Linked DNA regions of Callithrix jacchus. The protein of the gene in region 1 purifies or fractionates together with the protein of each later gene. This does not show direct contact. Links are inferred from orthologs where the notes say so. Each region holds a gene or a part of one and is shown on either strand. Other genes may lie near its edges.

Region 1 (3,013 bases):
GAAACAGTCTAACTCTTCTCATGAGGTATTTAAGAAAGCTACTCTTACTCTCAAAAGGGTAGTTCTTTCTTATCCAAAGATATTTTTAGGCCTGTAATCTCAACACTTTGGGAGGCCGAGGTGGGCAAATCACCCAAGGCCATGAGTTTGAGATCAGCCTGGCTAACATGGTGAAACCTGTCTACTAAAAACTCAAAAATGAAACCCATCTACTAAAAACACCAGCAGGTGTGGTGGCAGGTGCCTGTAATCCCAGCTACTCAGGAGGCTGAGGCAGAATTGCTTGAACCCAGAAGACGGAGATTGCAGTGATCCAGTATCTTACCACTGCACTCCAGCCTGGGCGATAGAGCAAAACTCCCTCTCAATAATGGGGAAAAAAAGATGTTTTAATTAATATCTTTTGTGATGAGAGGCCAATTTAAGACTGAAATTGACTGGATTGCTTTATACCTATTAACAAATCAAGCATTACACTATTTTGCCATGAAATCTGCAATTATAAAGTGCCTCTAAACTTTAACAGTTACAACTTATAATTAGTAAAATAGCCACTTGTCCAGCACACCCTTCCCACAATCTGTCTTTAAGTATCCAATTAATGATGCAAATACCCCATCCTCAACCTGGTTAACAAAGAATGCTCACTCAACATTAGTAGTATTAGATAAAATTGTTTCGAGATAGGGTCTCATTTTGCCACCCAGGTTGAAGTACAGTGATACAATCTTGGTTCACTGCAGCCTTGACCTCCTAGGCTCAAGCAATCCTCCCACCTCAACCTTGAGAAGAACAATTGCACTACAGGTGCATGTCACCGTACCAGGCTAAGTTTTGTACTTTTTGTCGAGATGGAGTTTTGCCATGTTGCCCAGGCTGGTCTTGAACTCTTGAGCTCAAGTGAACCAACTGTCTAGGCCTCCCAAAGCACTGGGATCATAGGCGTGTGCCAGAGGCATGTAACCAGATCAGTGTATTAATTGCTGGGTAAGGAAAAATATAAACTTCAGATTGCTTGGCATTCAGAAATTTTAATTCTCTCTCTTTTTTTTTTTTTTTTTAAAAAAGACAGGGTTTCACTATCTTTTCTAAGGCCGGGTTGCCCAGGCTGTTCTCAAGCTCCCAGGCTCAAGATATCCTCCTGCCTCAGCCTCCCAAAATGCAGGGATTACAGGCATGAGCTACCATACCTGGCTGAAATTTTTACATTTTTTATTTTAAAAATCAGAGTTTAGTAAGCCAGTTGTTCTTCTCAAATATAAAGTACTTTACAGCTTACCTTAAATTCAATGATTAGGCGACCCTTTTCATATGGTCTACGATAAATTGGCATGCCTTCATTTAGTACACACTTGATATCTCCATGCTTGACAATCTGACCTAAAAACATTGAAGCCAAGTTCTTCTTTAAGTATGGTCACATTTTTATGAAGCAGAGAAAATAAAGAACAGAGAGCATTGTCCTAGCTCACTGGCAGAAGTAAAACTTAGGTGGCAAAACAATCCTGTTACTTTTCATGTATGGGTTTTTTAAGGGCAGACAAGAGAGCCAAGACCTTATAACTTCATCTCAGCCCAGGAAATGGTACGTAACCAAGGAAGAAAAACAATGCGTTTCCCTCTACTGTGTTATCAGGAGACAAGGAAAATACTAGAATAGAAAAGAGAAGCTTAAGCTTGCCTAGTTACCATACCTGGATGAGAGGTGATGACTATGGTTCGGTTGTCAAGAGTAGATATCGGCTTTTGGAAGCCACACAGTGCTTCAACCAGCTGTATGTCCATACACATGAAAAGGTCTTCTCCTCGTCTGCATAAAATATGACACATATTTACATTTTTCAAATCACCAATCAGTAGATGTACCAAAGCAGGCTATTGTTTATTGGTTTAATAAAAGCAAGGGTGTCTTTTGTAAAGATTCTCTTTTCTTCCCCCATTGTAAAAATCAAACAGAGCAGAGATATGGGAATAGCACACATGTAGAACTTGCCAGCCCTGTTTCCTAGATAAGGATTCAAAGTCATTCCACACACTCTAGGCAGCCTTTACCATTTACCATCCCTGAATTGTTTCATTACCTAATTTTTAATCTAGTTTCTCAGAGGGAAAAAAATAACAAAACTCACAAGAGTGAGGCTTAGGTTGGGCGGTGTAGTTCACACCTGTCATCTCAGCACTTTGGGAGGCTGAGGCGAGTCAATCACCTAAGGTTGGGAGTTCAAGACCAGCCTGGTCGACATGTTGAAACCCCTTTCTACTAAAAATACAAAAAAAATTAGCCATGTGTGGTGGCACACACCTGTGATCCCAGCTACTCAGGAGGCTGAGGCAGGAGAATCACTTGAACCTGGAGGCGGAGCTTGCAGTGAGCTGAGATTGTGCCACTGCACTCCAGCCTGGGCAGGGTCCTAGATAATTTAGACTCCATGAAATTAAATAAGGGGGTTATATGACCAATTTATTTTTAATTGACTTTAAGAATTTCCTCATTGATGTACCTGAAATACAGTTCCTGGCACACTGTGAGTGAATACAGCCTTTCATATTTAACAGCCCACTTCCTCCTCATGCTTAGACTTTCCTCTTTTCCAGCCCACATTAATAAAATATCTTTAATCTTTAATACTCTTCTCAAATGACAACATCAAAATCCTAAGCTTGACAACCCTTTCCATTATCTTCAGACATTTGTGAAATACTTTGTTTTTTTGAGACTAAGTTTCACTCTTGTTGCCCAGGCTGGGGGTGCAATGGTGCAATCTGGACTTACTACAACCTCTGCCTCCCTGGTTCAAGTGATTCTCCTGCCTCAACCTCCCAAGTAGCTGGGATTATAGGTGCCCACCATCACGCCTGGCTAATTTCTGTATTTTTAACAGAGATGGCATTTCACCATGTTGGCCAGGCTGGTCTCAAACTCCCAACCTCAGGTGATCCACCTGCCTTGGCCTCCCAAAGTGTTGAGACTACAGGTGTGAGCCACCACCAGCCAAAATATTAATAATTCTAA
Region 2 (3,913 bases), about 37 Mb from region 1:
TGCCCAGGCATGGTGGCTCACACCTGTAATCCCAGCACTTTGGGAAGCTGAGGCAGGCAGATCACTTGAGCTCAGAAATTTGAGACCAGCCTGGGCAACTTGGCAAAATCCTGTCGCTCCAAAAATGAAAAAAAAGCTGAGCGTGGTGACACATGCTTGTTGTAGTCCCGGCTCCGATGAGGATGCTTTGAGCCTGAGAGCCAGAAGTTGCAGTGAGCTGTCATTGCACCATTGCACTCTAGCCTGCACAATAGAGCGACACCCCTTCTCACAAACGCCACACAAACAACAAAGCATAAAGCTGGAGGTATCACATTACCTGACTTCAAAATATATTTAAAAGCTTCGGCGGGGCATGGTGGCTCCACCTGTGATCCCAGCACTTTGGGAGGCCAAGGCGGGCGGATCACGAGGTCAAGAGTTGGAGACCAGCCTGAACAATATGATGAAACCCCGTCTCTACTAAAAATACAAAAATTAGCTGAGTGTGGTGGCGCGTGCCTGTAATCCCAGCTACTCAGGAGGCTGAGGCAGGAGAATCCCTTGAACCAGGGAGGGGGAGGTTGCGGTGAGCTGAGATCGCGCCACTGAACCCCAGCCTGGGCAACAAGAGCGAAACTCCGTCACAAAACAAAAAACAAAACCTTTGCCAATTTGGTAGAGTTGCGGGGCTTATTTTAATGGTGTCATGGAGGATAGCCTGGGGCTAGATATTTCTGGGGCCCTGTGCTTGTTCTACGAGCTAGGAGCTCCCTCTCTGGGCCATGTAAAGGGTGAGACTAAGCAGTGACAATAAAAGCGCTCGACAGTGCGGGACCTTGCCGAGGTGCTTATTAAGCAGGAGGTCCTTGCACAGGCGCAGAGGAGGGGGCGCCCCCAGACAGGCTGGGCGCCTGCGTGTGGGGGCGGAGCCAGACCTGACCTGAGCCAATCGCGAGCTAAGGTGAGGGTGCCACGCCCCTCAGGCCGCATATTAAATACGCAGAGAAAGGACGCCGGGGACACTCGCTTGGGGCCGGCTGCTCCCCTCTGGGCTCTGACTCTCAAGCTCTTGGGAGCGTTTGTGATTGGAAGCGAAGTCACTCTCGCCCGCGGTCCTAGCAGCCCGGTCCCTGCAGTGGGTCCCCCGGCGCGGCTCCTTTAAGAGCTCGTGGGTCGCCCACCGGAGGTCGCCCCCACGCCATGCGGGCGCTGCGGGCCAGCCTGACCCTGGCTCTGGGCGCGGGGCTAGGCGCGGCCGCCGAGAGCTGGCGGCGGCGTCGGGAGGACGCGCAGGCTGCGCCGGGGCTGCTGGGTCGGTTGCCAGTGTTGCCCGTGGCGGCGGCCGCTGACTTGCCCGCCGTGCCGGGGGAACCCGCGGGCCGCGGCCCGAGCGAGCTGGTTAAGTACGGGCTGCCGGGGCTGGCGCAGCTCAAGAGCCGCGAGTCGTACGTGCTGTGCTACGACCCGCGCACCCGCGGCGCGCTCTGGGTGGTGGAGCAGCTGCGGCCCGAGCGGCTCCGCGGCGACGGCGACCGCCGCGCTTGCGACTTCCGCGAGGACGACTCGGTGCATGCGTACCACCGCGCCACCAACGCGGACTACCGCGGCAGCGGCTTCGATCGCGGCCACCTGGCCGCCGCCGCCAACCACCGCTGGAGCCAGAAGGCCATGGACGACACGTTCTATCTGAGCAATGTCGCGCCCCAGGTAGCGCCCCCGCCCTGGGCGGGTCGCGGAATGCGGGGCCTCGGCTTGTTCCTCTGTAGATGGGGCAGCTGCCCACGCGCCCTCCGCATTCCGTGGCGGGAGGGAGGAGCCCTGGGCTCCCGGCTGCGGCTCTGCACGCCGACCAGGGCTTGAGCTCCAACTGCGAACCCTGGGCACCCCGGAGCGTCGCTTTCCTCGTCTGAAAAATGGGGCAGTACCGTTCTTCACCTTCCTCCCGCAGTAGTGATGCGGCGCTGAGGCTCACAGAGGCAAAGTGACGGACAGTGTCACACAGCAGAAGGCAGACAGTCTGGGTAGAACCCTAGCCCCCAACCTTTTTGGCCCCAGGGTCCGGTTTCCTGGAAGACAGTTTTTCCACGGCTTGGTGGGTCAGGGCAGGTTTCAGGATGATTCAAGTGCATTACATTTATCATGCACTTTATTTCTGTTATGATTACACTGTAATATAGAGTGAAACATACAACTCACGTAATGTAGAATCAGTGGGAGCCCTGAGCTTGTTTCCCTGAGACTAGACAGTCCTGTCTGGAGGTGATGGGCGACAATGACAGATCAGGCATTAGATTCTTAAAAGGAGCGCCCAACCTCCTCGCATGCGCAGTTCACCATAGGTTTCCGGCTTGTCTCCTGCCGCTACTGATCTGACAGGAGGCGGAGCTCAGGCTGCCATGCCAACGATGGGGCGTGGCTGTAAATACAGGTGAAGCTTCCGGTGCTCTTCTGCTGCTCACCTCCCATGTGGCCCAGTTCTGGTACCAGTCTGTGGCTCAGGTGTTGGGGACCCCTGGTCTATAAAACCGTGGGTCTCCAGACATCGTCCTATACTGCCTGCCTTGGATCGGTTTCGAAGCAGACACCTGGCCCACCGTCAGGGTGTTAGTGCCAAGCACTGTGCACCCTGGGCCAGCCACTCTCTTGACCTGTTCTCAGCAGAGCCCAGCACCAGAGGATGGAGGCTGCCGTGGGGCTCTGGGTGGAGCCCATGGGGTAGCAGCCTCTGACCCAGCCTCCTTCCAGAGCACAGCCCCCTACCCACTTTCCATTGTCCAAGGCCTGGAGAGCTCAAGATGGAGGCAGATTCATAACATTCCCAGCTAGGCTCTTCTGTGGCTCAGACTGGGAAAAGAAAAGTGTTGGTGGTTGGGAGGGCTGGTCTTCCCATGAGCCCCCTGGTGGGGCTGAGGACAGGCCTCAGTCCTCTCTGAAAGGTGGACACATGCCCCTTCCTTCATTCGGTTCTTGGGAGCTTTGACACCTGGGCTGTGGGAGGGACAGGTGATGGCTAGCACTCTGTCAGCCCTGCCCGACTCCATGTGGCTTCAGGGAGTGACTTTCATTTCTTGCTCCTCAGTTTCCTCATGTTTGCCCCCCACTGGGCATCTCTGGGCATGTCCATTCCCTCAGGGCCCAGTGCAGCCATCTGATAGAGGAGGAAGGGTCCCAGCCACAGTCCTGCTAAGCCCCACCTCCTCCTCCCAGGTGCCCCACCTCAACCAGAATGCCTGGAACAACCTAGAGAAGTACAGCCGCAGCTTGACCCGCAGCTACCAGAATGTCTATGTCTGCACAGGGCCACTCTTCCTGCCCAGGTGAGGTGGAAACCAGGAGGCTGGGGGTGGCAGGACCTCCCACTCACTCAAGGCCCCTACTGTCCCTCACAGGGCCAGGCTTGCCCCAGGCTCTGGGTCAATACCTGTTCACTATTCATCTGGTGTCTTGGCAAGTCTGTCAGCTTCCCTGCCTTTGGTCCCCTCATTCCATTTCCACAGCCAAAGACCTTTTGGGTACCCTCCTACCATCTCTCCTCTGGCCATGGGCAGCAGCAGGCCCTGGATCTGCCCCCACTTCTCCCTGCTGTCACCTCCTGCCACACCTACCCAATGCTGTTCTGCTCATATGGAAACCCCTGCAGTTCCCTGGTGCACCAAGCTCTCCCACCTTCGGTCTCTGCTCTGCTTGGAGCACTTTCCTCCACCCTTAGGAGTTTGAACCCAGATCTGCCTGACCCAGGGCCTCCACCCTTGCCTCCCAGGTGGAAGCGACTGAGCACCTCTGGCCATGCTCTGTGGTTTCTCTGGACTGCGGAGGCCTGGGACTGAGAGGCAATAGGTCGAGGCTGAGCACCTCACTCTGGAATCCATAGGCTCAGGATGGAATCCAGGCCTTGTCACCTAGTCCCTTGGTGCTGTGGGCAAATGACCTG

What was found.
Region 2: the proteins of DNAJA1 (region 1) and ENDOG purify together in Homo sapiens (affinity purification with mass spectrometry; 3 studies listed by BioGRID and IntAct, counting the BioPlex papers as one, with this or other methods). This does not show direct contact. The link is inferred for Callithrix jacchus from reciprocal best matches to the Homo sapiens genes DNAJA1 and ENDOG.

The regions. Positions count from the first base shown.
Region 1 is NC_133502.1:140,228,329-140,231,341, reverse strand, and holds part of DNAJA1 (dnaJ homolog subfamily A member 1), read right to left. Parts: intron 1,811-3,013; coding exon 1,695-1,810; intron 1,381-1,694; coding exon 1,280-1,380; intron 1-1,279.
Region 2 is NC_133502.1:177,413,154-177,417,066, forward strand, and holds the start of ENDOG (endonuclease G, mitochondrial), read left to right. Parts: upstream 1-1,000; 5' UTR 1,001-1,182; coding exon 1,183-1,689; intron 1,690-3,189; coding exon 3,190-3,299; intron 3,300-3,913. UniProt on the Homo sapiens protein: Endonuclease that preferentially catalyzes the cleavage of double-stranded 5-hydroxymethylcytosine (5hmC)-modified DNA.